Diceros bicornis minor: one gene and its partners. The protein of the gene in region 2 interacts with the protein of the main gene of each other region in a biochemical or structural test. Links are inferred from orthologs where the notes say so. Each region holds a gene or a part of one and is shown on either strand. Other genes may lie near its edges.

Region 1 (5,525 bases), on a different chromosome or scaffold from region 2:
GTTTCCCCAATGTTCTAGGACAGGGTGAGTTCAGGCTCCGGAAAGAAAGGCTAGGGGCCCTAACTAGCCTTTCTGCCGTCCGGACGCGCCTATTCACCGCCCCCCCCCCCTTATTTAGGGCAGCCTAAATAATCCCTAGGGTTCCTACTTCTCTGAAATCCTTACACCGCTTCTTTACCCAGCAGGGAAACTTCAATCTCCATCAGAAACGTACAGAGGCAGGGAGGGGAGGAGTATTTCCATGTACAGTTTAAAGAGCACCTGGAGGGTTGGTCAGGGGGAAATGGAACGTGGGTCTAGAAATACAAAGATGTGAAATAGCTGTTTTTTGGCCACTGCACTATAGAATTGTATTTCTCTTAAAGCGAAGTGACCTTCAAAGCACCATCTTGGCTCTAAGATTGCCTCAACTAGCAACGTTATTTGAATAAATTCCTTAGGACTCAAACTAATCAGTGGTCAAGACAATTATTCCACTAAAAAAGGGCAGTTACAGATCTCCTTCGACAAAGTGGGTGGCTCTGAAAAGAGCCTTTGGATTAAGGTGGTGCCTACACAAGCATTTACTTGGAGCTGGTGTACTTGGTGACGGCCTTGGTGCCCTCGGACACGGCGTGCTTGGCCAGCTCCCCGGGCAGCAGCAGGCGCACGGCCGTCTGGATCTCCCTGGACGTGATGGTCGAGCGCTTGTTGTAATGCGCCAGGCGCGACGCCTCGCCCGCGATGCGCTCGAAAATGTCGTTGACGAACGAGTTCATGATGCCCATAGCCTTGGACGAGATGCCGGTGTCGGGGTGGACCTGCTTCAGCACCTTGTACACGTAGATGGAGTAGCTCTCCTTGCGGCTGCGCTTGCGCTTCTTGCCATCTTTCTTCTGGGCCTTAGTGATAGCCTTCTTAGAGCCCTTCTTAGGGGCAGGAGCCGACTTGGAAGGCTCAGGCATGGCTTTTCCCAAAACCTGTAGAAACGCGAATAGCACTCTCCACAACAAAGTCTAGTACTGCAGACAGTCCAGAGCCCATTTATTTATAGTTCTTAAATGCAAATGAAGGTTCAAGATTTGTCACTCCTGATTGGACAGAGCAGCACACTACGGGGAGATGTTTATGCAAATCAGGGATTCTCATTCTCTTTTCCTATTGGATAGAACACAGTACATTGTGACCAATCGGATAGCTTACTAGCGCATCCTTGCACTGTGCATAAAATAATTTCTTCAAGCACTGGTATACATTTCTTCGCCTTCTGCAAAGGTTTTGTTGAATTTCTTTAGATTACTATGTCTGGACGTGGGAAACAGGGAGGTAAAAGCCGAGCTAAGGCCAAGACTCGATCATCCCGAGCCGGCCTTCAGTTCCCCGTGGGCCGAGTGCACCGCCTGCTCCGCAAGGGCAACTATGCCGAGCGGGTGGGGGCCGGCGCGCCGGTGTACCTGGCGGCGGTGCTGGAGTACCTGACGGCCGAGATCCTGGAGCTGGCGGGCAACGCGGCCCGCGACAACAAGAAGACGCGCATCATCCCGCGCCACCTGCAGCTGGCCATCCGCAACGACGAGGAGCTCAACAAGCTGCTGGGCAAAGTCACCATCGCGCAGGGCGGCGTCCTGCCCAATATTCAGGCTGTTTTGCTGCCCAAGAAAACCGAAAGTCACCACAAAGCCAAGGGCAAGTAAAGTCTACAACAAAACAACACATAACTCTCACGTTTTTCAGCTACCTAAAGGCTCTTTTCAGAGCCATCCATAGTTTCACAAAAAAGCTGGTAACCGAAGCCACGCCTCGTTGGTAATATCAGTCTTGAATCTTTGCAATATACAAGGTACCGTTAAAACGTTTCAGTTCCAGAAAAATAGGCTGTCCACAACAATTATTTTAGTGCACTACAGGTGACACTTGGGAAACCGACAAGGTGTTTTTAAAATAAAGCCAGGGTAGGAATGTCACTCGAACTCGAGACTAACAAGGAGCAGGGAAAATTTTCCGTTGGCTGATAATAGAGCTGCTCGGGGTTTTTGAGTTTCAATTTAAGCAAAAACCATTTGTCCAACACAAGTCAGCGAACATTTGCTGCGGTCCAGTGTGTTATCTGGCATTACTAGACCAGACGCTTTACATATGATTTTCCAAATAATCCACCCAGGGAACCTAGTGCCATGTAATTTCACACAAGAGAAAACAGACTCGGGATTAGGGGAGATAAAATGACTAAGAGCTGGGAAGCGGCAGTCCAGGCGATTCAAGATTTATTTTTTAAAAAGCTAACTCAACTTGGGGAAAAGAAAACAAGGTTCAATTTAGTGTGCCGACCAGCAGGATTGACATATCTGCGAGCGTGTCAAGAATTCAGTGTATCAGGTCCCACTCAGATTAACTGAATCAGAAGTTACATTCAACATGGTCCTTAAATGGCTAGTTATGCACACTGTACTTGGTGACAGGATGAAACAGAACATTTGAAAATTAATACCTTCAGGTCTCAAAGACTAAAAAATAGTACAGGGATGGGCGGTGGCATAATTCAGCCAATCAGATTCTCTAGTAATGAACTAATCCTCCTGGTTACCCTTGAGCCAATGGTTTTATCGCGCGGGACTTTTGAAAAATGACAAGACCAATCAGAATGTTTCTAACTATATTTAAAGGCAACTTGGCTTCTGCATGCCACAGATTCTGGGTTTGTCCTTAGTCGCTCCAATGGCTCGCACAAAACAGACTGCTCGCAAGTCCACCGGCGGGAAGGCGCCGCGCAAGCAGCTGGCCACCAAGGCGGCTCGCAAGAGCGCGCCGGCCACCGGCGGCGTGAAGAAGCCCCACCGCTACCGGCCCGGCACGGTGGCGCTGCGCGAGATCCGCCGCTACCAGAAGTCCACCGAGCTGCTGATCCGCAAGCTGCCCTTCCAGCGCCTGGTGCGCGAGATCGCGCAGGACTTCAAGACCGACCTGCGCTTCCAGAGCTCGGCCGTGATGGCGCTGCAGGAGGCGTGCGAGGCCTACCTGGTGGGGCTCTTCGAGGACACCAACCTGTGCGCCATCCACGCCAAGCGCGTCACTATCATGCCCAAGGACATCCAGCTCGCGCGCCGCATTCGCGGAGAAAGAGCATAAAACAAGCTTTTCCTCTTGATTGAAAAAAGGCTCTTTTCAGAGCCACCCACAATTTCACTTAAAAGCAGTTGTAATTTGATTGTAGATCTCAATTGCTAATAGGTAAGATACTACGCATTGTAAAAAAGTGTAAGTATGTAAAGCTTGAAGGCGTATAGTTAATACCACGTATTTGAGACTTTAATTGGCTGCTTTCTAGATTTAAATGAGATCGCTGTAAGCGGCAGTAGACCTATTAACTATTAAATAGCCACGTGTTGCCTAGTGACTTGTAGAAAGCAATTATTTTACTTTGACATAGGCACAAAAAACTATATTTGTGTACAGGAAATGGAGGCCAAAGTAAGCTTTTGTGCTTGGATTGTCCAGAGAATTTTCTCTAAAGTAGTTATCTTTTGTCTTTAGTTTTCAGAAACACGTTCATATTGATCCTCTCATATTTTCTTGTTTAACTGAATTTGGTCCAAGACAACAGTGAGTATATTTATATAGAAGACCCTGACCGTGCCCTGTCACTCCTACTTTTAATCCATCTAACATAATACAAATAAGTCTAACAGCAATATCAGTATACATAAAATTACCAGTAGTCCACAAGACATTCACATCTGGCTCCAGAATCCGGTATTGGTCTATCTGAAATGGGATTGTAGTTGAGGCGATAGAAACTGACCTCAGTACTCACCACCAGAGGTCCACTAAATAGGTTTATGCAACAAGAAAGATGACTTGTTAGGAACTCCAAAGTTCCTTTGCTTACGCTTAAAATCAATGATATCTGAGATACTGAAGGGTATCAACTATAGAGCTTCTCTCTTTTACCCATGCCCCCCTTTTAATAAATACAAAAACATCAAGTGTTAATTTCTTTTTTTTCTTTCCTTTTTTTTTGTGAGGAAGATCAGCCCTGAGCTAACATCCATGCTAATCCTCCTCTTTTTTTTTTTGCTGAGGAAGACCGGCTCTGAGCTAACATCTATTGCCAATCCTGCTTTTTTTTTTTTCTCCCGAAAGCCCCAGTACATAGCTGTATGTCATAGTTGCACATCCTTCCAGTTGCTGTATATGGGACTCGGCCTCAGCGTGGCCGGAGAAGCGGTGCGTCTGTGCGAGCCTCGGATCCGAACCCTGGCCGCCAGTAGCGGAGCGCGCGCACTCAACCGCCAAGCCACGGGGCTGGCCCTGTTAATTTCTTTTTTAATTTTCCAAATATAAAAGTATAATGTAACTGATGGAATAGATCAAGGTTTTCTGAGCCCTAAAGCTTATACAACTTGGTGACTCTTAAAAACTACCTTACAAAATTACAAATACAAAACCAGACAGTGAATGTTAGTTTATAATAGGGGAATAAATCAACAAATTCCAATATTACAAAAACAGACAAAACCATAGCCATCACAGAATTTAGAAAAATAGCACATTAACCCAAATACAACACCATAAACCTTTGTTTTTCTGTATTTTTGACTGCATACTCTGATTCCATTTTCAAATAAATATTTTGTAATATTTTTTTTATAGACAAGGGGAAGAGAATTCAGTATTTGCTCCAGGGTGATTGATCACAATTTGCTTTATTCTCTTGATAACTTGGAAGAGTTTCAGCTTCAAAACATTGTTGATAAAGTCAAGTAAGTTTTTAAGATTGTTTTCAAAGTTGGGAAAATCCTCTGTCAAGCTTCTTTCATATGTGAATGTAAAATTGGGAAGAATTCTTCACAGACTAGCTTCTGGCTCTATACATTTCAAATCTTGATTCTTCTCTACTGTGCACTCATTCCCAGTGCTGGGTGCTATGAATACATGAATGGCACATGGCATCTAGTTCTGCATCTTCTTGCAAGAAATCCAGGGGAGTTTGTCAGTGAGCAGAAGGAATATTCCTTGAAGCAATTCTTACATCAGATTGGCTAGCAACAACTGAACTATATATGAGCACATCTGCAAATTACACTATACACCTCATTAACTCCAAACTAAATACATAGCCAAGTAAATTTTCTCTTCACAAATCCCAAATATGCTCATCAGCATCCCAACATAATCAGACAAAAGGTGAACTGTAATGGAAGGGAAAATTGAGTGGAAATAATGATTTTAACCAGCTGTGATTAAAATATCTTAACATTGCAGTTTTTAAAAACATGAGACCGAGAGACCACACCCCCAGGGGCCCCTCCCAGGGCATTGGAAGCACAAGGCCTGACACTTGACTTTCAATTAGCTTCAGGGTAAATCTGCCTCGGAACTGACTATGCTTTTCCAACTGATACATGGTCTTCACCTGCCCTCCCACCACTCTGTTCTAGCACATCTCAGTCAAGTGCCCTAGGAATTGAGAGTCACTGGTCTTGGATGACTCTCAGGCCTCTGAGGTACAGCACTGCTTTGCATGATGCTTTGGATGGTGGTACTCT
Region 2 (7,731 bases):
TCTTTCCAGGTCCCTCCTCATTCCCTAACCTCTACTCTCTCCAACTTGCCAAGGGCCGGTTAGGGACAGAAGGTAGAAGAATCTGTCCTTTTGGTCTTTCTTATACGAAGGGTAGAGACCAGTTGAGAAAGAACCACAGATTCTGCTTTCTCATACCCCCTCACCCCAATCAAGCACAGTTAAAAAAAAAAAAAAAAAGGAAATCTGAGATAATGTTACTCCCCAGGTTAAGACTCCTGGATTCTCCAATGCCCTCTTGGACACACACCGCCCCAACCTTGTGGCCCAGCCAATGGAGCGCTCGCTCCTGCTGGCCCAGCTCCAAGCTTTCATAACTTTCAGTTTCCCCACTACAAGAAGCTTCACCTCACCCAGCCCTGCGCTGCCAAGAGTCCTTAGTACCCACTGACACTTCCTCCAGGAAGCCATCCCCACCCCTCCGTGCTGCAGCCCATGAACTGCCCTGCTTTGAGTTCTAACGCCACTCTAACAAAGCAGTTTTTTTGAACGTCACTGGAATTGGTTCACTGCCCACCTTCCCAGGCCTGCAATACACGCATGTGTGCACATGTACACACGCATGGTCGGTAGCTCCAGATGGACAGATTCTGGGTGTCTTAGCCCCAGCATCCAGCACAACGCCTGGCACCTAGTTGGGACTCCTCTAAATACTTGCTGAATGAATGAGCAAATAAAAATAGGCACTCTCAGAGTCTCCCAGGAGCAGGAAGCAAGGCCTTTACTAAGAGAGATTTTTCCCTATAAGTTTACCTACAAGCTTGGTAGCGAATGTGAACATGAAACCCTCAAGTCCCAAACTTTAGAAAAGGTGCTACATCTCACTCATGGAAATATAAAAGGATCAAAAATATCATTGTAGGGCACATAGGCTCGTGGGTTTAGATAGGACTAAAACTTCAGGCAAGTTTTCAGCTATGAAGTTTTCAACAGCAGGCAGCAGGGAGAGAAGGTGCTCACGATGGGAACCCAACTAACAGCTGGGACACACACAGAGCTGACACAGTTCCTCCAGGAGCCCACTCTGGCTGCCCAAGGCCAAGCCCACCACGTAACTGACCTTGGTCTTGATTCTGAGCAGTTCTCCCTTCTGCCTACCACACTCAAAGTCTTGTCTCACCAGTCTAACGCCCTTCAGAACCAACTCCTGGCTTTTCACCTTTCTTAGAAGCACACTCTCCACTTTATCTTTTTTGCTTGTCTTCTTCAGAAACACCAGCCGTGTGGCATTATTGCCTCACAGTTTCAGTTTTCTTTGCTGAATTTAAAAGGGACTAATATATTGTCTGGTTCTGGACTAGGGTCTTGCTACTTGCAGTGGGGTCAGTGGACCAGCGCCACATCATCAAGAGTTTGTTAGAAATGCAGAATCTCAGCCCCACCCCAGACCTACTGATTTAGGGTCAGCATTTTCACCAGATCCCCCAGTGACTCCTACGCACATTAAAGTCTGAGAAGCAATGGGCTGGATCCTACATTCATTCAACAAATATTTATTGAACCAGTGTGGGGTACACAGTGGGCATTCAACATACACATGAGGATGTGAACGGTGCTGAAAAAGGGGTTAAGCACAGACATTCCTTGCGGTTGAGAAGCTCCTGTAAATACTAAAAACAGCATCACCGGGAACCGGGTTCTAGCAGGATTAATAATCTCTAGTCCAAAATTCAGAAGCGGCCACTGCCGCTGAGTTGTGTGAATCTGAAACCCGGGAACTTGACCGTGTTTGCAGTAGGCGGGAGGAATACGTGGGAGGTGTGTGCCTGTGTCTCTTCCCCGCCTCAGCCACAGGCCTCGGGAGCTGACAAGGCCAAGTCCCCGCCCCCCTCAGCTGTCACCCTGTCAAAACAAAGCCGCTGCTGACAGCGCAGGGCCAGCCTGCCCCGCGGCCTCGGGCAATCCTCCCACCCCGGGAGCACGGCGCCCACATCTGGATCTGCAGCTGAGGGGCTACGGGGTGCCGAGGGCTGGGACGGAGAGGGGATGGCAAGAAACGTGCGTCCTCAAACTAAGCAGTCGCGCCCGCCGTGCTGGGCTGTCATCTTGCCAAATCCTGTTTACACCCGGAGCAGCTGGGACAGCCTTTTAACTAAACAAGTAATAATACAATAATGACGAGGCTGTCACCGCGCGCCGCAGCGCCTCTGCCCTCAGCCGAGAGCGCCCGGAGCTCCAGGACCCTCGCGTCGGGCTGTGCCCCTCTTCCCACCCTGCGCGTTCCGCCCCTTCGATCTCCCAAAGCGCCGGGAGTCCGGGAGCCTATTCCACCCTCACTCCTCCCACCTAGCTCCTTCCAATGGGGCACGGGGAGAGGACGGGCGAAGATCCCCAAAAAGATGTTTCCTTGGCCCCGGGGCGCTCGCCACACACTGAGCACTGCTCCGCTCCCTGGGAGGCGCCTCTGGCGGGCTCCTACAGAGCAACAAAGCCCCAGGGCAACCCAGGAGCGCGGACGCAGAGGCAACTCCTTCCGAGGGGAGCAATGAAAGGTTCTCGGTCTTGGTGATTCCCCTTCTTCCAACCCAACAGGACTCTTGTCCGAGAAGCAGCTAATTGGGTGCGGGCGACAGCAGCACTTCCGCGGTGCAGCGGCCCCGGGCGGGAGGCAGGAGGCGGGGGCGGGAGGGGGAGGGGGCAGGGGGCTCGCCGCCGGGCCCCAGCCCCCCGCGGCGGTCCGGCGCGGCGAGCCCGTACCTTGCAGGCGGAGTACACTCCGAGTTTCTCCAGTTTCTTGGCCCGCGGAGCGGAGCGCAGTTGCGCCTTCTTCACGGCGATCCGGGCCGAGCCGCCGCCTCCCGGTCCTTCGGCCGTGCCCGCCGCCGCCACCGCCGTCGCCGGTCCGCAGGCGCCCGAGCCCCCGGCGGCGGCGGCGGCGCACGGGGAGCCCTGCGGGGGCGCGGGCGGCGGCGCGGGGGGCTGTGCGGGCAGCGCCCCGAGCCCGGCCCCCGCCCCGCCGCCGGCCGGCCCGGCCCCGCCAGCCTCGGACATGCCGCCCCGGAGCGCGGCAGCAGGCGCCGAGTGTCAGGCGCCGCCGCCGCCAGGGTCTCCCGCTCGGGCTCCGGTCGCCGGGAGAGCGAGACCCTCCCCCACGCCCTCCCGCCCCCTGCGCCCACCCCCCTCCCCGCCCCCGCCCGCCCCGCGCGCCGCTCGCCGCGCGCTCCGGCCGCGGCCCGCGCGCTGACGGCGGTGGCGGCGGCGGCAGCTGCTCCCCCAGGAGGGAGGGGACTAGCGGCTCCGCGGCCGCCGCCGCCACTGCACACGCCCTCCCCCAGTGCTCCCCGGGGCTCCGCGCTGCGCCCTGGCCGCCGACATGTTCCTCGGGGCTGCGCACCGGGGGCGCCCCGGCCTCTGGCCCGCGGCCCGCGGGCTCTGCGCCCCCCACCCCCGCGCCTCGGCGCCCGGCGCTCGCCCGCCAGGGGGCGAGGCCACGCTCGGGGTGAGGGCGAGGGGGGATGAGGGTGGGGGTAGGGGGCCGGAGCCCAGGCACCTGCTGGCCGCCTCCGTCTCCGCAGCCCCCCCGGCCGACCCCCGCCCTGCCGAGCCCCCCCCCCGGGGGCGGGGGCGGTGGGGCGCGGGAGACTCCCAGTTATTTGTTCTTCGCCTCTATTCCACCCTCTCTCGGAACAGAGACAACTTCCTCCACCCTAGCGGGAGCCAGAGGAAAAAAAATATTTTTGAAAAGTACCCGTCCATGCTAATCCTTTTCTTTGTTGCTAATTCACCAAAATAAAAGCGTCATGTTTCCTATTTTTTTTTAAACGCTTTTCTGTCCAACTTTTTTTAAGAATGCTTTTCTTCCTATAGCAATTTCTGGATCTAATCTGCCAGCGGAAGGAAAAGACTGTGAATCAATATTTTCTGTAAATTTTGTTTGAAAGTGCTGGCTGTTAAAGGAACGGTTGTCTGAAAGCGCTGTCAGAATGAAAACTATGCGCAGTGGGAAAAGTTTGAATACAAAAAGTTGGTTAATACGGTTCATCTCTTCATGGTGGGATTCTAACCTTGCCTTTTTCTTTTCTATAATGTTCCATAGTTTTCAAAATTGATATCACCAGCATGCATATTAACCGTGAAAAAAATTTAAGCAGCATCCAAAAGAATGAGTGTTGATTTTGGCCTCAAACTTAAAAAAAACACACACAAAAAACTCAACTCAGCATTTTCATCTATTGTTGAAACTGTTGAAAACTGTCGTTTTCATTGTTAATGACAATGAGGGTGGTGTTTAGTATTGTGGAGTGCATATTTCAGTTTTTCATTTGAAAGTTGTGCACCCTTGGTTGGCCTTTCTAAAGCAGTTTGCAAAAGCCCAGCGTTATTTTTCAGGACCCTTCACAAGTGCCCTGCTTTTGTAATATGAGTCATAATTTTTATGTAATATGGGTCATAATGTGCGTATTATCAAATTCTTTGCATGCCGTGTAACTCTCGCCCAGCTCCAACCAGAGACGCCTTAAGGAATGTGCTTTCCCTGGAAACATTCCCCTTCCCATCCCGTTATTGTCAGTTAATTTGTTCTATCCTTTTTCTAGATTCTCTATGTTCTTTTGACTTTTAATGCAGAGTGATATGTTAAAATGATAAATAAAAAAAGTTTGTAGATCTAAATAGTGACATTAGACTGCACAGAAGGCAATAGCCTCTTCCAACTTCCGCGCGGTGTGAAGGTCTGAAATGGCAGACTCATCAGGCTCCATCAGGACACTTACTTGCCTGCTGGCTCTTCTGAGGTGTTTTGCAGATTTTTTTTTTGCGGTTCTCACCGAAGCAGGATGGGCTTCTTAAAGGCTGTGATGCCCTGTTCAAAATCTAACATCATGATGTTAGCAAATATGTGCATTTGAGCATTTCACTGGATATAAATTTCCCTCAAATAGTAAAAAAAAAAAAGAAAAGATAAATATTAATTCTAGTTAATGGTTCTCATGCTGAAAGTGTAGGGGTGCAGAGTCCTGATATCTGCAGCCTGCTTTGAGATGCAGAAATAAGATAGATTGATGCATCTGTGAATGGGCCAATAGGCAGATGAACAGATATATAATAAAGCAAGTAGAGCAAAATGTTAATAGTTGAATCTAGGTAGTGGGTATAGGAGTGTTCACTGTGCAGTTCTTTCAACTTTTCTGTATGTTTGAAATTTTCCATAATAAAATGTTGAGGAGGGAAATCCAGCTTTAATATTAATTCAGCCATCACCTCCCCCTCCCAAGCTGTCCCCAGAATTCAGGAGGCAGGCTATTTCCAGGATCTTTTGAAGCAGAAGAAAACAACCTCATTTCAATCCACCTTGAAAACCATCACTGTCTGAATGGTGAATGGCTTGTGACATCAACTGAACATTATTTTTCATTATTTTCCTGCTCTGAACACCCAGATGACATACTGCCTTAGGCGGAAGGCCCACATTTTCACGACCTATTCAAAGCGTTATGAGCACCAGGCAGGGACATTTCAAGGGCAAAGGATTCAGGAGGCTTGTTGCCTCTTCATAGTCAGGCTGTTGTGAATATTTATTTAGTAAGCTCCTGTGTGCAGAGCCCTTTTACAAAGTGGGTACCAAGAAAATAAAAGGCAATGTTTTAGTTTACAAAGTATTTACAACTGTGAAAGGATTTCCATCTAAAATGGAACTGGAGGATATGAAATGGAGACTCACCCTCAGAAGAACAGAAGTTAAGAACTGAGAGACTGATTTCCCATAAATGCCTGAATTACAGAAGATAAGACTTACCTCCTGACCAATGAACATCAGCCAAGAATCTCTCCCTAGCCTCAAGCCAATGAACTTACTGCTGGCTGGACTTCCCTCTCTTTGCACTCCTTGCCCAGAAATCCAGCCCACCCAAAACCTTTAATGGACTCGCCTGTAGCTTGCTACAGCATGCGTTTTCAGAATTGCAGTTCCTCAGCTATTACCAAATAAACTCAATTTCTGGTGGTTCAAGCTTGCCTCAGTTTACCTCTTTATTTAGGTTGGCATGACTTACTGAGGTAAGGAAGCCACAATTAGAAAATAAAGGGCTTGGAGAGTAGGAGTTGCAGGGGGCGGGTTGACCACTGGAGGTTGCTTCTGGTATATTAATCCTATAGAGTGTTACGCAGCTGTTACAAAGAATAACTTTTATACAAATGTAATAGCCTAGACAGATCTCCAAGAAATACTGTTGAAGGAACCTTGTACAGTATAATACCATTTATGTTAAAAACAAACTCACATTGACATATAAGCACAATTCTGTATATGTTCAATGAGTGCATACAAAAGTGCAAAACCAAGAGGAAGATTTAGAAAGATACACAGTAAACTCATTAATGTAGTTTCTTTTCACTGGGCACCCTTGAGAATGAAACTTATTTTTCTCATTTATGTATTCCCAGTTCCTCACTCAAAAAAAGCTCTCAATAAATACTAGTAGTCATTTCTACCTGTAAACTTTATCTTCGATCTGTTCATATCTGTCTCCATGGCTGTCACCTCTCGGCCAGAGTGCCAACAACAACTTCCTTCTGGTCTCTCTGCTTTTACTCTTGCTGTACCACAATCCCCTCTTCACAGTACAGAGTTTTACAACTGTAAATGCAAACCTGATCCCACAATTCCCCTTGAAACCCTCCAATGGCCTCTCCTAACATTTAAATTACAGTCTCAATTCCCTAACCTGTTTGGCAAGGCTCACCTCCCCTGGCCCTTCTCCCTGGTGTGAGGTACACTCCAGCCAAACTCGGGAAGCTCTTGCCTGCCTCAGGAGCTTTGCATGTGCTGTATTGCCTGACACCCTCCCCCAGAAGGCATGGCTGGCCCCTATTCATCTAGTATCCCTTGCTCAAAGATGCCGTCCCACCTAAGAAAGGCAAGTTTTGTGACCATCTATTGTTACTCCAACGTCTACTACCTTTTTGCCATCTTCCTTCCTTCCAAGCCCACACAGCTTCTGTAATGCACCTGAACCCCACAGGTGGATTGAAATTGTCCCCACTGAGGGCTCAGACACCAAGGGCTAAGTCTGGACCAGGCAGTATCAGAGCAGGTTTGCCCCACTGTGTGGCCAGTGGCTAACATCCTTCCTGGCACAGCCACCTGCTTTTAGAGACAGCGGCTTGACATGAGTGTAAAATAAAGACACGTCAGGTAGACGTCTCAGTGTGGAGCTCCTTGGGCCGACTTCCCACTGGAGAAAGTGGCTGTGAGTACTGGACATTTATTTTAATGATCTCTAAAACAAAATCTATACTTCTAAAGAAAAAGTACTGAAAAAAATTTATAAAATGAATCCTAAGGTGGGGAGACATAAAATCTCTAGTTTTCAAGCATTTACCCGATTAAATCGTCATTTCTGATGTGAGTCTTAACCATGCCTCATATACACTTATTGCTATTTTATTCATTTTTATTTTTAGCTGTTCTTAAATAACAATTTCCCATATTTAATATGAATGGGCCTAAATGTGATTGGCAGAGCATTGCCCTTGTAAGGAGAAAGGGTTGTTTTCTGTTTTAAATACTAACACATGCATGTTTTAGCAGCCTACCTGCCATTTACAATGAAGGTACAAAGTAAGGAAAAAAAATGAAGTCTCCTTTCTTCTGAACTCAAGCTAAATGGCTGACTGCTTTTCTAGAGCAATATGAGTATTTATCTCTTTGAGCAACTTGAAAATTATGTAAGAAAATCAAATTTCCAAAGAACCAAACTTTGATATGACCTAGAT
Region 3 (7,951 bases), on a different chromosome or scaffold from region 2:
GAGGTAAGGCCTCCAGTTTCTGCACACCTGGACGACCGGCTCCCTGCTCTAACAATAGACATAGTCACAATGCAAGCAGAGTGTTGCTTCCATCCTCTTCTGCCTGCCTAGGGTTTCCAGGCACCACACAGAGACTGGCTTCCACCCCAACACGGGAGGCGCGGGTTCCCAGCGCCCCTGCCTCAATCTGCTAGCCAAGGGGCCCGCTCAGGGCCCACAGAGCCTGGACCAGGGGGCGAGCCAATCCGGAAGCCATCCCGCGACAGATGCCCCCGGCCCAGGCCGGCCCCGCCCACGACAGCGAGCCCCGCCCCTCGACCAGCCCCTGCGCAGTTCGCGAACCCGGCTAGCGGGTGCTGCCGGGTGGGAGACCACAGTGAAACTGGCTACAAAAAGATTTTCCAATCTTTAGGTTTCCCGCCCAGTACCGGCCTCGCCCCCCAACGCGGTCCTCAACCCCAGCCACGCCCGAAGCGCTGCCCCAGCCCTAGAACTCAGGATCTACCTGGTTCCGAACCAAGGTTGGCCCCTCCCCCACAGCCACACCCACCCTTGCAGGTACGTTCCCAAGCTGAACTAACACTCCTACCCTAACCCCACACCCGATCTGGGTCCACACACCCTTAATTCTGACTCAGAATTCCTAAAAATGGCCCCGCCTTCACCCTCCACCCCACCACCTGCCAGGTGGTTGGGGGCGGCCAGCGCGTGGGACCAGAAACGCGGGGGCAGCCTCCGAAGGGACGGTTCCTCTGTTATCCGCGGTCCGTGACACCTGCAAACCTTGGGCCGCTCCATTCCAAATTTACCGAGAGAAAGGGGCCCTTCAGCTCTTTGGCCGTGAAGGCTGCAGTTTTAAGTCAGCTTGTGAACTATCTTACAAATGAGAAGGCTAAACGTTTGGTTACAAGGCAACAGTACAAGCTTATAAGTACCCAAACGGGTTTTGAACCTGCCCCAAATGTGGAAAAGTTAAATGTCACAAAAGAGTTCGCATGAGCGCAAAAGAAATATAGAATTCTTTAAACCAAACTGGGGAAGAAAGATTGCCATCTGTTAAAACGTTTCCACCTTGGTGTTTAAAAAACAAAAAACAACCACAATGAATCAACTACAAGATCCCAGGCCTGCGCGATGGAAAGTGCTGCCCTGGAATCGAGAGCGGGCGGCGGGGCGGCGGTCCCCGGCCCCCAGGCTGCCGGCTCAGGCCGCCCGCCCCCGTGCAGGTGCCGCCCGCCCGCATCCGGTCCCCGGCAGGTGAGAGCAGGACCGGGAAGAGGGCGGCGCAGACCCACTCGCAGCGGGCAGGGCACTCCTTTCTGGAGAAGGCGCCGCCGGGCAGAGGAGCCCCTCGGGTCGGGCGCGCCCCCGCGGGCCGGATGGGCGGGGCTCCCACAAAGAGCTGCGGACAGGGAACCCGGACCGCCCCCCGCGTCGGCCGCCGCTGGCTCTGGTTTCGACAAATTAAACCTTAGGGCGCTGGAAAAATTACAGGAAAAGGAGAGCGAAGAATGTGCCGAGCGGCTGGAGGGAACCCTGTCCCCGGGTGAACTTCGCCCGCCGCGCGCCCGAGCCCTACCGGCCCCTCCCCTCCCGAGGGCGCGCACAGCAGACGGGGGAGGGGCTGACAGGCAAGGGGCGGACGAGGGCACCCCCTCCCCCGCTGCTCCCGGGCGCCCCGGCCACCCATCTCCACAAGCAGCACCGCAGCCCCCACCCAGCTCTCCCGCACCTGCCCGAGCTACCCCACCCCGGTCTGGGCGGGGTCCCCGCCCCCAGCCCAGATGACGATATCCGCCCCCGCGGCCCCGCCCGAGCGCGCCGGGAGAGGGGGCGTGCCCGGCGGGGGCGCGGTCGCCCGGCGGGCGCCGGCTCCAAGCGCCGGGACCCGCCCCACGCGGCGCGCGGGGCCGATCGCAACACCGAGTCGCGGGGAAAGGGGCGAGACCCGTGCAGTTCCCAGCCCGACCGCCCCCCGAGCCCGGCCAGCGGCTCCGGGAGCGTGTCAGGCAGGCTCGCGTTGGCCCCGGTCCGCGCGCTCGGGGCGCCCGGGCCGCCCCACTGACCTGTGTGAGTTCTCAGGTGCGCCTTAAGGTGCGAGGATTTCCCGTAAACTTTCTCGCAGCCCGCGTAGTGGCACTTGTGCTTTCTCTGCGGGGACTCGAGGTCAGCGCGACTTCGGCCCCGGCGGCCCCTTTGTCTGAGGCCGGGCTCGCTGCTCCCCGCGGGCCCCGGCTCCCTCTCGGGCTCCAAACCCCCCTCGGGCTCCGGCTCGCTCCACGCCGGGCTGAGGGGCGCGGCCGCCGCGCCTTCGCCGCCGGGGGAGGCGGGCTCGGGGGCGGGTGGCGGCGCAGGCGGCAGGCGGCAGGGGGTCCTCGCCTTCCGGGCCGCGGCGCCCTCTCTGCGCTCCGCAGGGGCAGGCGCCGGCGCTTGCTGGTTGAGGTCCGCCAGGATCCGTGCCACCACAAAGAGCGAGGCACTGTCCTTGCCGTCGCGGCGCTCCTCGACGAGGGGCAGCGTGGCGGCGACAGCGGCGGCCGCGCCCTCGGGTCCGGGCTCCGGCCCCTCCCGCGGCCCGTGCACGACCGCGCGGCTCGACATGGAAACGAGGCACTCGGCGGCGAAGTGGTCCACATAGGCGGCGGCTGCCATGCTGCGGGCTCCGGCCGGCGGGCCGGCGGCACTGCTAGTCGCTGCGAGTCGTCAGCGGCGCATCCGCACCCACGGCCTCCGGAGAGCGGGCTGGGGGCGGGGGCGCGGCGCGCCCTCTCCGCGGGCTGGGCTGGGCGCGCAGCCGCCTCTGCCGTCACCAGCGCGGCTCCGCGTCCGCGAGGCGTCCGCCCAGCCGGGCACGAATGAGTGAGTGCATGGGGGGCGCGGGAGAGTTGGGTCCCCGCGCGGCGTCAGGGGCGGCCTATTCTAAGGATGCCGAGCGGCGACGTTAGGGACAACCGCCCCAAGTCGCGGCCGCAAGCTCGCCGCGCATTGTGGCAGGCGAGACAGCCGCCGTGCGCGCGGCGGCTCAGTGTGGGCGGCCCGGCCCCGGGGGTGGGCGGGGCCGGGGCCACATCTGGACCCGACGTCAGCCCCCAGCCACATCCTGGCGGCGCAGGTTACAGGCGGCGACGACCGCGGGGAGCTGCGCGCGCTGAGGGGGCGGGGATCCCGGAGCGCGCACCGACAGGATAGCGCGGTCGCGCGCCCGCGCCTGGGGAGGGGGCGTGGCTGAGGACAGGGGTGGGAGCCATTGGTCCGTGGATACGCTGCCAAGCCAATCCGGGCCTCCAAGAGGGGCCTGCCCGGCCTCAGGGCTTGCGCGCGCCAATGGGCGTGCCCCCTTGGCCGGCGGGAGGAGGGGCGGAATGGGAGCAGGGAGCCGGGCACGCTGACGCACGACGTCCGAGGGCGGCGGGTCGGGGCGTGGCCGCGCGTGCTGTTCCCCTTTTGCCCCCCCGCAGCGGGGACTCCGCCGGGTATTTTCCTACCAGAGCTTTTGTACTGTGACAGCCTTGAACCCCAGCGCGGAGGCGAGCGCCCCTTTGTCCCTCCAGTCCCCGCCCGTGAGGGGCGCGTGGGTGGGTGCGCCTCGGCGGGGCTCGCCTCCGCTTCTCCTCTCCAGAGCTAGGTTTGCGCGGCGAGGAGGCGTGTCCGCCTGGCCCGGCACGGAGCTGCCGGCTTCGCCTCGGGGAGGAACGACTCCTGCGCTCCCCACCGTCGCCGGGCTCCCGGGTGGCCTCGCCTGAGACTCAGGCCACTCGCTCCCTCCACGCTCTTCCCCTGCTGAGCGCCGGGCCCTCGGCGCGGACCGGCCGGGAACGGGGTCACGGATGGGGCGGGGCCGCTCCCGCAGGAGGGACCGGGAGCTCCCCCGGTTGGTCCGGGCGGCCGGGAAGCCGAAGCGGGTCGCGCTGCCCTTGAGCCCGGGTCACCCGAAGCTGGACTGGCCCCGAGCCGGTGGTTAACCTGGCAGCGTGGGTGACGTGCCCACCGCGTCCCGTGCTTGCAGGAGTGAACTACGTGCTGGGGGCGGCTGGCGCCGCGCTCGGGGAACGTGGGCCCCTTCCTCTCCTTCCCCGCCCCAGGCCTGCTGCCAACTTCCAGGCTGCCCCTCTCCCGCCGCGGTCGGGGAGGCTTCAAACGCCACCAGCTGCGAGGACCCCGCCCACCGCGCCCCACCCACCCCACTGTCTGGGCCTCCGGAAGAAAATGCCGGGCCGCTCCCGCCGCGGTCTCCCCGCCCCGGCCCGCCAACTTGCCCTTGAGTCTTACTGGTGCCGCCACCCTCACTCACCCCACAGCCCTCGCCTTTCTTCTCCAGGCCTAAGCCATCGCCGGAGAGGCCGGTGCGTAACTTCCTACTGCCTCGAAACCGAGCGCAGCAAGCCCCTTTCCGGACCCTCGCCGGCAGCCGTTGACTCCGGGAGACAGGCCAGAGTCTGCAGCCCCTGGTTCATTTGCCTCGATGGACGTTCGAACGTGTCAGCCGCCCTCCCTGGCAGCCTGGAGAGTGAAAGCAGCCTAGGCACTCAACCCCTGTAGACTGAAGAGGGGTGAGTGGGGCAGCGTCGTGCTGCCCACGCGATTAAGAGCAGTCATTTCTCACCAAGTTAATATGGGGCCTGGGTAGAAAAAAATTCTCTTTCCAGGTAACCAAGAGAAACTGAGCCAGGCATTCTGGGTCACATGTCATGGTGAACTGTGAACCGGCGTGGACTTTCGAGTACCCAGAGTATCTGTAACTCTAACCCTAAAGTTCCCTCATTGATGGAGCTGTGCCCTCTGGGAAGACTGCACAGCGCGCTGTGCTGGGGTGGCTCTGTACGGCCCGCTGGGTCAAGTTCCTCTAAGAGGGTCTCTTCTTGGCAGGAAGTAACCATTCTTCTCCCAGGCAGATTGTGTTGATGACATTTAAGAGATTTGTGTTCTGACCAAATAATGATTCAGAATGTTCTTCCAGTCCCACCACATGTCACAATCAGTCACTTTATTAAGGATGGAGCTGGCCCGACACTGACTTAGCCACACATCCCCTCCCCGTCCCTCTCTAGCCAGCAGGATTCTGCCCAGTCTTCAAGGTTCCACATTTTTCCACTTCTTCATGACCTCTGCTGGGACACCCCAGCCTGCACACACATGGGGGGCTCCTACCAGTGGGCACTATCGTAGGCATTGAGTGGACAAGACATCTGCCCTACATGAGGGGAGGCCAACCTGGTCAAGGGTCTTCTGCACTGACACACACCTCACCCCATCCACAGTGCGACACAGTCTACAGGCATCTCGGAGTGTGGCCTCCCTGCGGGTTTTGGCTGTGCCCGGTGGCATTCTAAATGCAAAACTCAGCCTCTTGGCTGGTTTCTCAAGCATTTGATGATTGTTCACTGGAGGAAGCCTCAGGTCCGGCAAGTTTTATCCCAGCCCCACGTGGAAATATTCTCCAGATAAATACAGTTCTCTCCCCCAGAGAAAATCTACCCATGGCTGCGGGTCCCTGTTTTCCTTGCTAAATAGAATTTTGACAGAGGTGGCTTATGTATATATATGAGGGTGGATGGGCATCAAGTGTCGCATGGAAGGAACAGAATGAACACAAGCAGAGGAGGGAGGATCAGACCAGAGCAAGTGGATGCAGATGTGTCTGGGGAGTAAAGAGGCAAAGACTGCAGAGGTGGCTGAGGTTTCTGGAAAAGGTGGTGGATTGATAGCATGTGTTGACTCCAACTTCTGGAGCCTCCTGAAACAACAGTGTTTGTTTGTTGTCAGGTAGAAATTGGCAAGGACAGGGCGAGCAAGGCAGGAAGTAACAGCAACACGATTTTTGAAGCTAAGATACTTAGCAGACCTGAGGAAATGAAATCCTGTTATGTAGCTAGGAAGAAAAGCCAAGAAGAAACTCTGCGGAATCTCCAGAAGGTTCAAAAATGGATGGCACTAGGTACCTCTGGATGTGGGTGTGAATAGGGGGCTAAAATAAGAATAATTGGCTACAAGTCTGCTTAAGAAGCACTCAGATGCCCAAATCCCCCCACCCCCAATTCCGTGCAGCCTCCCCCATCCTGACAAAAGACTGGATGTTTATTATCTGAAGAAGGTAAAAGGGTGTATCTTGGGCTGGGAGCCACCAGGCACAGTTAAGGTCAGAGGTGCCATAACAGGAACAGGCGGGTGAAATGAACGTACAGATATGGGACACTGAGACCACCTCCCAGCTCCCTTTTGGGAATCAGAATGCAGGCAGCCAGGAGACTGGAAGGGTCTTTCCTAGGGCATCATCCCAGGCCAAGGAGAACACCTGAACTTTCTGACATCTGCTGTTGCCCAACTAAACAGCCAGATCACCCTGGAGGGAAGGCCACAGTTAATGACCCCCACGCATGTGTACAGAGCTTCTAATTGGTCTGTCACAGAGAACCAAAGCTGACCTGGCATTTCAGGAAATCCTGTGTCATGAAATCTAAAGCCCCAATAGGTTTTTTTAAAGCAACTTGGAGGAAACAGAGACTATGCAGAGAGAAGTACACATCAACATAACTATCAATAATGTCATCAGAGAAATTAAAGAAGATATTGCAACCCAGCAAAGGAAGACACACAGACATTCAGAGAGCAAACAAAGAGTTCTTGGAAATTTAGAATAAGGTAGCAGAAATGAAAAAACCTGCAAGAGAGGGATTGGAAGGTAAAGTTGAGGAAACTTCTGTGAAAGCAGAAAAAAAGAACCCCAAAAATGGGAAATAGGAGAGAAAAAATAAAAATCAGAGGACCACCCAGAAAGTCCATTGATTAAATAGTAGGAAACCAAAAAAAGTGATCAGAGAAAACAGGGGGGAATCATCAATGAATTAACCCAAGAAAAGTCTCCACAACTGAAGAACGTGTGTTGAAAAGGCACACAAGGAGGCCAGCACAATGGGAGAAAACAGCCGTACCCCAAAGCATGTCGCTGTTCAGAATAATGGGGACAGAAAGTGTCCTGACTTTAGAAGCAGGTCACATAGAGGCAGTCAGGAGTCACAGTGGCTGTGGGCTTCTCCACAGCAACAAGTAGAAGATAGAAGGCAGGAGGCCAAGCCTTGAGAAATCTAAAGGAAAATTATTTTCCAGTCTTTACCCAGCCAAAGTATATACCAAGTATTTTTAGATGCATGAGGTCTCAAAAAATTGACCTTCCATGCATCCTTTCTCATGGTAGGAAGCTGCTAGAAATCATGCTTCACCAAGAAAGAGAAGTATGTGATCCAGAAAGCAGACATTCAACACAGGAGGGAGGAGAGAGGCACAGAGGGCCTCCAGGCCAGGCTGGAGCAGGTCAGAAGCTCTGGGGACACTTCTTCAGGAGGTGAAATAGATAGAATCTCTGTATTGGTCAGGAGTGGCTGGGCGGTGCCGCAGTACAATCAACCTGCAAATCTCAATGGTTTCTTTCTGGCCATGCTGTGTGTCCATAGTGAGGCTCCTGAGGACATCCAGGTTGATGGAGCAGCCTCTGTGTAGAACATACCATGGCAGAGGGACAGGGAGAGCATCAACCCAGAGGTATCACTCATGCCTTCTTTCCCACACGCAAAATACACTTTCCCCGTCTGCGAGTGGGCCTGATTCACTCTCATGAACCTTTTAAATGTGAATCTAGAAGCGAGAGACAGGAAACAGAGAGTGGAAGGGTGACAGGGATTCGAGGTGAGGGAGATTCTGCAGCGTCCAGGTCCAGGTCCAGGACCTCTGTAGGAGGCTCAGCGGTTTCTTCATGTGATGCATGTGGCTGGCTCGTGGGGTTCTTCTTGGTCTAGAGACCTATAACCTAAAGATAAATCGTCTGCGGCCCCATCCCACCCTCAGCCCCAGTACACAATCCCAATGCACAGTGGTGGAAAGGGACAGAATAACACAAGAGCCCAATTCAGAAAGGGGAGAGGTGGGAGATACCCAGCAGACAGTATCCGTAGCAATC
Region 4 (7,832 bases), on a different chromosome or scaffold from region 2:
AGAAATTATAGCAAAAAACGGTTTATTAAGTTTTCAAAGTTGAAAGCCTTCCTTTTGGACAAGAAAAACTCTCTCGCTCCCTTACACACACACACGTATATCCTGGCAATTTTAAAGAGTATTTTTTCCCTTACTTCATCAGAAGAACAGGACAAAATTAATATTTATTACTAAGGATTGGGCAACATATTACTCAATTTAACTTTGTTATTTTCAGAAAATAATTGCAACAAAATGAACCTCATTTCAGAGTTTCTGGTAAAACGGGAAGAAACCATTACATGAAGTAATAGTCAAGAATTTCACCAACTTGGTGCCTATGTTCCTTGAACTCTGATCGAAGGCTTTTTCAACATCTTCACAGTTCTATTGTCTCCACTAAAATCTAACTTGGCTGTATGTTTCTTCAACATGGACTTCACAATAATATCCTTTGCAACGCAGAACTGGCATCTATGGCTCTGTACTGGCCCACTGCTCTGGCAAGCGTGGAACACTCATTTTCCATGATTTTATAACCCCTGAATTATAGTACCATGGAGGAGAGCCTCCGTGGCCAGGACAGAAGTGGTACCGGTGATACTGTGGAGAAGAGTGGGGCATCAACTGACAGACTGATGAGGGGCCACTGATTTAATCACAGCTATAAATACCTAACACTTCAGTTAGTATGCCATCATAATCTACATTCTTAACTTTAACGTCCAGTTCTAAAGGCTGTGATTGTAGATGGAGGTGATGTGGGTGCAATTACTGGGATAATACAGTGGAAATTAACATGCCAATATACTAGACTGTAAGAAAACTTCTTGGAAGGCAGCGATTTTCATTCGTTTTGTGCACTGCTGTATCCCAGTGCTGAGAAAATTTCTTGGGCACTTAATTAATGTTTGTGACTTGAATGATTATTTTATGAAACTATTCTCATTTATTAGAAAAATAAATAAGAAATCCATTTGAAAGGAGTTAACCTTGAATGTATCTTTAAATTTCTTCCTTAGTTGAGATCCATTCATGGAGACATCCATCACTACATGTCCCGGGAATCACTGTCCTTACTTGACTCCCCTGAAAAGAAACTGGTCCTGATGCATCCAGGTGGGTCTTCTTTTATGATGTTCCATTCCACAGGTAAAATACAAGAATGCCTCACTGAGGACACCACTCTGGTTTCATTATACAAGACTGTTCCAACAAGGGTGTTTGTATTAGACCAAGGTGTTTGGTCAGATTTCTTTGGTATGGCAAAGGTTACTTTTTCCAGAGACTTTCAAAAAGGTTATATTTTGCTATCTTGATCCATTTTCCACAGAGATTTATGACTATATGCATCTCATCAAAGGGCTAACAAATATTTCTTGACTGTGTATATAATACCATGTGGATTTTGGGGCTGTATTTACAAGGTCTGCAGTGACGTCATCAGGGGCATGAGAAGAGTGAAATTCAATCTATGCTTTGTGAGTTTAGGGGCATGGAACATTGGAAGCAATACTCATGCCTCAGGGAGCTCCAGGGGCCCAGGAAAGGCAGGAGTCTGTGATGCCTCCCCGTTTCCTGGCTGGTTAATGAAGTGACAAATACAAGGTTGCAGGGAAAGGTGTTATGAGTCTAGTTTTACACATGTTTAATTTGTTGCACCTAAGGAACCTCTAGGAGGTAATGCATCCAGAGCTCAGAAATGACAGATTCTGGAGTTATCACCAAACAGCGATCTCTGAAGCTTTGGGTGTGGGTGAGAGCACTCAAAGAGAAAGCAGGTAGAATGAGAAAATAGGAGGGTTGAGGATAGAATGTCTGGAAACACCATAATTTAGGGGGATGGCAGCAGAAGAGGAGCCAGCCAAGAAACAGAACAGGACACAGGGATATCACCCAGGCATCATGGAAATGGCAGCACAATGGGCGTTACAAAATGATAGAGAGATTGAGCAGATGAAGACTGGAAATGGCTCTTTAGAAAAAACTACTAGGAGGAAATACATAAAAATATCAACAGGTCTGTTCCTGACTGGTGAGATTTCAGGTGGCTTATTTTCTTCTTTCCAGTTTTCTGTCTTCTGTATAATAAGTATTGATTACATTTATATTAAAAAATAAAATACTCTGATAAAGTCTAAAATATTTTATGAGAACAAAGGGCAAGTAATTATTAATTCACAAGTATTTGAATGCCTACCTGCCAGGCACCATGCTAAAGATAAAAGAAGCGAGAGGATGGCTCTGTTGTTTTACGAAGAGGAACGGCAGCTGGTTTGACAAGGGAGAGGTGGACAGCTTGCGGGGCACCGTAGCAGGAGATGAGGCTGGAAAGGTAGTTTGATGCCAGATTATAATGGACTTTATATGTCTTGTCAAATAAAAGGGACTTTATTCTTAAGGCTGCAGGGAGGTTTTTGAGGGGTAGAGTTAAGACTGGAATTGTGCTTTACCTGAAGTTAATTTTCTACTGAACTTGGAAGTAGTGTGGCCGCTGGCTCGGAGGAGGCCAAGTCAGGACACAAGGAGCACAGTGACGAGCCACTGCTGGAACCGAAGGAAGGCAATGCGGTGGGGATGCAGAAGGGGCCAGGTCCAGGGAGATCTGGGACTAGCATCAACAGGTCAACAGGATACTACTGATTGGAGTATGTTGTGGGGAAGGAAGATGTCAAGGACTACTGGGTTTTTAACTTGGGTCCATGGGTGGGTAAGGAGTGACAGCAATCCTACAGAGTTTGTATATAGTGACTCTGATTGCTTTATAGTGGTCTTTGCTACAGGAAATAAGAAAGTGAGTGGCTGTGACACACAGTATTCTACGAGACGGATAAGAAAGAACGTGTGTATGTGAGATCTATCTCTGAGGCTGCAGCCACAAAATAGAATCCTAAACCTTCAGCTCTCTCCTCACGACATGTGCATATTTGGATACTTTTCTTTTTCTAGTTCATAGAATTCAGTACTTCTGTGGCAAAGAGGGGTCTTGGAGTTATGTTTTTAGGAAAGTGTTTACATATAAATAGCTATGGCCTCCCAGGAAGGGAGTTTCCCTGTTGGGTAGAGAAGTTTGGGAGGAGGCTGATGAAGCTGCCTGTGGGGGAAGAAACAGGTATAATTAGATGAGAATGCATCATTTTAAAGCATGGGACCAAAAAGCAGTAGGTCCCAAGTGAATTGTATCAGTTTGAGCTTGAAGGTGACAGGTACTGTACCTGTATTCTTGCATTCTCATTTAGCCCCACTTCACAGAATTGAAAACTGAGGGCTCAGGTTAAGCAACTTGACCAAGGATGCCCAGCTTGGAAGTTAAGGAGTACAAATTTGAACCTGGCTGAAAGTACTACAGTGTAAAGCCTCTTTCCTGGGCCAGCCACGGCCAAGACATCTTTAAGTAAAATCACATCCTTGCCCATGTCATCCTGGAGCAAGGTAACGCTGTTGCACTGGAGTGTGCTACTGTTGACGTACTAGAGGAAGGCCTTCCTTATCCCGTGGCTAGCCCCCAAACAGGGCGCCAGGTGGTGTCAGAGATGGCAGCAGCCCCTCGCATGGTTACACTCTCAACTACTGATAAGGGTTCAAACGAGGTTAAGGATGCAAGTCACTTGGCCCAGTTCTTGCATTAATATCTAAGTAACGCTGTCTTGTCAGTTAATTATTCCTTATATTTCTTTGAGGTGGGCAAATTCATTCTGAAGACAGCGGTTCTAAACACCTGCCCTACCCACAGGATAGCAAGAGCCCCTTTGCTTCCCCGGACGCCCTCCTCCTCCCTCCCGCCCAACCTCCAGGTAACCCTTAGGATGGAGAGGCAGGTACCCGCTTTCCTCTCCTACAGCCATTAGCTTCTGGCCTGAACCCGAGCTTGCGCCCCGTCACCCCCAGACCCCCGGGCCCCCCGAGTGTTCGCGCGGCGCATGGGAGCGCCCCGGTGTGCGAGAGACAGACTCACGAGCAGCCGCTTGTTGCTCCCACTGCCGCGACGTGGGGAAGTGAAAATGAAATTGACTTTTCCGAGAAATGATGACAGCGGCGCTGCCTGCCAATGAACGGCGGCGGCGAACTTCCGCACCTCCGGGCCGGGCCGCGCGCGCCCTCCCTCCGCCTCCACCTCCCGGTTGCACAAGCTTGAAACAAACACTGGGGAGGAAGGGCGGAGGGAGGAGGGCGGAGGGGGGAGCGAGGGAGGGAGCGAGGGAGGGAAGCAGGAGGAGGGCGGGGGGTGGGGGGATTTCCAGCCTCGGCTCTTCGCAGTTTCCTCTCCTTGTTTTGCTTTCGATCTGGACTGTTCTCAGGCAAGCCGGGGAGTAACTTTTAGTTTTGCTCCTGCGATTATTCAACTGACGGGCTTTCATTTCCATTTCATACACCCTAGCAACACTTAAACCTTGCGGAATTGTATTGGTAGCGTGAAAAAGCACACTGAGAGGTAACATTTTTCAAATAATAGTTGTGACTGTGCGTGTGTGTTTTTCTCGAGGGCATGTTTATGAGGACCGGAGGGGAGATGTATGCGTGCGTGTCCTGATGGTTTGACACGATGTTTTGCAGACGGAAAATGCTGAGGTTCATAAATATTAATACCGATTTTTGGAGGAACAGTCGGCGCCGTTATGGATCATCTGATTTTAGGGGAAGCAGGTTCTGCTGCTGTTGCTGCTGCTACTGGGGCTGCTGAGGCTGCAGAGAGGAGGAGGAGGTAGAGAGGGAGGAGGAGGAGGAGGAGGAGGAGGTCGGTGGAGGTTTAATTTCACTTTTGGATTTGCAGATGCGGAGAGGTGGCTCCATGGACACGGACCTGCTCTGTGTGATTCTGCGCCCCAGGTGTTGTGTGTGGGGGTGCAGGTCCGCTGGAGTCGGGCCTCCTTTTTAAAACAAAATTGTCGCGGACATGTGTGTGCGTGTGTGTGTTTACAGATGCCGTCGCCACCAGATCCGAAGGAGGGGAGCGGGTCCTTCTGGGTGCCCGGCGGCGGCGCCCCTCTCCAGGCAGCCTCCAGCGTAAATAAGCAGAACCCGCTGCCCGCCGGGCTGTCTGCGCCCGCGCCCCGGCCGGGAGAGGCGCCTCCAGCCGCGGCGAAAGGAAACTTGATGGTGCGCCCCGCGGCGGTCCCAGAGCTCGCCCGCCCCTGGGGCTCGGGGAAGGGGCGCAGGCGGCGGGTGCCAGCGGCCGGAGCCGGCGGGCGGGCTCGGAGCTGGGCTGGGCGCCGGGCCTGGCCGGCACGCCCGGCTTCCTGGGGGCTGGGCCGCCGCCGCCGCTCGGGGGGGACGCCGCGTCCTCCTTCCCGCCGGCCAGCGCCCGGCCTGGCCCTGGGGCTTTGTCACTGCACTTGTCCTGGCGCGCGGGGGGCTCGGGCGGCGCGTCCGGGGAGGGCGGCGCGCCGAGGGGTCATCTGCCCCGGCCGCGGCCTAGCCGGGCGCCTCCGGGTCCCCGCGGGCGCCCCCGGGCCGGCCTGGCGCGCTGGGCCTGACCCGCCTCGGCTACGGAGCGGGCGAGGTGGGGGCGGGGAGCCTCGGGGGACCGAGCGGCGCCCTGCTGGCAGGCGTGGGGGCCGGCGTCCACCGGGGGTCCTGGGGCGCGGGCTGCCGCGGGGTGGGGACGTGAGTGCCCGCCCCGCGCCCTCTGACCCCGCTCTGGGCGCCGAGTGGCATCTGCCCGCCGGCCGAACATGGTTGGTGCAAAGCCGCGGCCGCCACTTCCTCTCCGCCTCGCCGGCCGGGCTCGCCCACCGAGCGCTGCCCGCCGCGGCCAATCGTGGCGCCCGCCCGCCTGCGGCCGCCCTCAGCGCCACGGCCTGGGCGCCGGCCCCCGAGGGGGGCTCGGAAGCCTTTCCAAGTTCGGAGGGCGCCAGGATGCCCCTCATCCTCCTGCCCAGGACGCAGTGGCATCTCCCTTAGGCCCCAGGTGTGGGTGCGTTTGCCGCGCTGACCCCCTTGCCCCGTTAGAGGCGGAGAAGGGAAGGAGGCTGGCAGCCCGAGCCGGGCGCAAAGACGGTGTTCCGGGCACCAGGTGAGGCACCCGGGTCAGTCGGTGTAGGCAGGACCCTTGGTCATCAGCTGTAAACGTGACCTCTGGGACTGGCAGTCGAGGTTGCCTTACATTGGCAGCGTGGCCTTCACCCATCTTTAACCCCATAGGATAGTCCTTGGAACTTGGGGACATTTTACCCCAAGAGGGAGGGACTCCCTCTTCAGCCTCTTCCCTCCAGTGTGGGCAGTGGGTAGTGCTCCTCGTCCTTGGTTGCGGAATAAGAAAACGCGGAGTCCTTCTAAGTGAGGAATAGTGCTGGCGTTTGCCTCCTGCCCCTGGCCTCCTTGTTGCTGTGACTCGGTCTGCTTTTGATGAATGGCTCGGGAGGGTGGAGGATAGTTACATTTCCTGTTGTGGATTTTCAGGAATCACCAAGGTTGCTGTCAAGCCTGCAGTCTTTTATTAGTTTTCAGACTGACTGCAAATAATTGGAACTTAGCAGCCTGCACTTTTTGGTGCTTGAGGGCAGGTGCAGACAGGGGTCTGGTGACAGACTGAGTATGGAAGGTGGATGGTCTTGATGTTCCACAGATGCGCGCTCCCTTACCACGACCCCGAGGGTGATCCCTGTTTAACTTCGTCGTGCACACAGATTCAGGATTCTCTAGTTTTCTCAAACTGCTCCCCTCCCCCCAATCATTCTTTTTTTGGAGAGGGAAAGGATGGAAATAGAAACCTAAAAAATCCTGGAAAAACTTGTCTTTTTTAAGGAAACTTCCGCAGATGGAATGTTTAGGACTTAATATGGCATTTCTAAGGGGTAATTTTGGAACATTGATTGATTGAGGTGGCAAAGTCCGGAATTTCACTGTAATTAGTGAATGATTATAATTTATAACTTAGCCTGTTGTGTAAGAAGTTAGATTTTGGCCTCTAGATCCCAGAGTTCTTGTCTGTTATGATTTGTAGCTGCTTCTTAATATTAAACATTTACATATTTCATTCTCAATGAGTTGTCTCTTTTTCTGCTGACCTTCAAAAGTTAGAGATAATTCCACATATTTCAGACCCACCTGTAAAAATGTCATCATAATCAAAAGTAAGGGTTTGTAGTTAAATTGGAAGCAAATTATGGCAAATGGTTGTCCTCAAGTACTGAAAACTCTATGAACTGTGGCCGCACTTTTCTCTTTCTCTGCTTTCTGAAGTTCTTTATTAGGCACATATTCAATATACCAAAGCTAGTTAAAGATGTTTAAACTTAGTAGTGAAAAATTTGAAACTTTGGTTGTTTTACATGTGATGTGCATCGATTTTCCCATGTTGCCAAGGAAAGTGTACTTTTATTCTTAGTATCATTGAGTATAAGCTGTAGTTTTCAGAGCATTTTCACACAATTTCCTTTTGATAGAGAACAGACCACTGAACTCTAAATGGGGTATCTGGGACATGGTTGCATTACATGCTTTATACCAAAAAGGTCTTGAAGCAGACAAGGGACTTTATTTATTCATTTCATAAATATTACTAGAACATTCACTATGCCCCAGACACAGTGCTGGGCTCTGAGGGTTCAACTGGGAACAGGAGGACAACTTCTCTACCCTCTGGGGAGATAGTGCATTCTAGTTGTTGAGCTGACAGTACACAACTGAAAAATAAGTTCAGTAGCTGCCTAGTGAGGTTAGTTCTATGGAAGGTGATAATAATACTTAACTGTGTATCTGATAGGGTTGCTTTTGGGAACAAATGAGATACTGTATGTGAAAGACGGTTGCATAAATTACAGCAATCTACCAATGTTTGAGACATTAACTTTCAGAATTCTGTCAGATTATTAATTTAAAAAAGCCAGGGAGTCATGACGGTGGATTAAACA

Evidence for each region.
Region 1: of the proteins of KAT2B (region 2) and histone H2B type 1-B, one has a biochemical effect on the other in vitro, tested with the Homo sapiens proteins (3 studies listed by BioGRID). The link is inferred for Diceros bicornis minor from reciprocal best matches to the Homo sapiens genes KAT2B and H2BC3.
Region 3: of the proteins of KAT2B (region 2) and KLF13, one has a biochemical effect on the other in vitro, tested with the Homo sapiens proteins (2 studies listed by BioGRID, with this or other methods). The link is inferred for Diceros bicornis minor from reciprocal best matches to the Homo sapiens genes KAT2B and KLF13.
Region 4: the proteins of KAT2B (region 2) and IRF2 form a complex in vitro, tested with the Homo sapiens proteins (2 studies listed by BioGRID, with this or other methods). The link is inferred for Diceros bicornis minor from reciprocal best matches to the Homo sapiens genes KAT2B and IRF2.

The regions. Positions count from the first base shown.
Region 1 is NC_080753.1:42,262,419-42,267,943, reverse strand, and holds histone H2B type 1-B, read right to left. Parts: upstream 970-5,525; 5' UTR 945-969; coding exon 564-944; 3' UTR 515-563; downstream 1-514. Other genes in the region: histone H2A type 1-like, read left to right, coding at 1,281-1,673. UniProt on the Homo sapiens protein: Core component of nucleosome. Nucleosomes wrap and compact DNA into chromatin, limiting DNA accessibility to the cellular machineries which require DNA as a template.
Region 2 is NC_080741.1:25,827,519-25,835,249, reverse strand, and holds the start of KAT2B (histone acetyltransferase KAT2B), read right to left. Parts: upstream 3,021-7,731; 5' UTR 3,010-3,020; coding exon 2,716-3,009; intron 1-2,715. UniProt on the Homo sapiens protein: Functions as a histone acetyltransferase (HAT) to promote transcriptional activation. Has significant histone acetyltransferase activity with core histones (H3 and H4), and also with nucleosome core particles.
Region 3 is NC_080744.1:78,296,020-78,303,970, forward strand, and holds the start of KLF13 (Krueppel-like factor 13), read right to left. Parts: upstream 3,011-7,951; 5' UTR 2,653-3,010; coding exon 2,067-2,652; intron 1-2,066. UniProt on the Homo sapiens protein: Transcription factor that activates expression from GC-rich minimal promoter regions, including genes in the cells of the erythroid lineage. Represses transcription by binding to the BTE site, a GC-rich DNA element, in competition with the activator SP1.
Region 4 is NC_080768.1:16,193,137-16,200,968, reverse strand, and holds the start of IRF2 (interferon regulatory factor 2), read left to right. Parts: upstream 1-4,828; 5' UTR 4,829-4,899; coding exon 4,900-5,076; intron 5,077-5,785; exon of another isoform or gene 5,786-5,992; intron 5,993-7,832. UniProt on the Homo sapiens protein: Specifically binds to the upstream regulatory region of type I IFN and IFN-inducible MHC class I genes (the interferon consensus sequence (ICS)) and represses those genes. Also acts as an activator for several genes including H4 and IL7.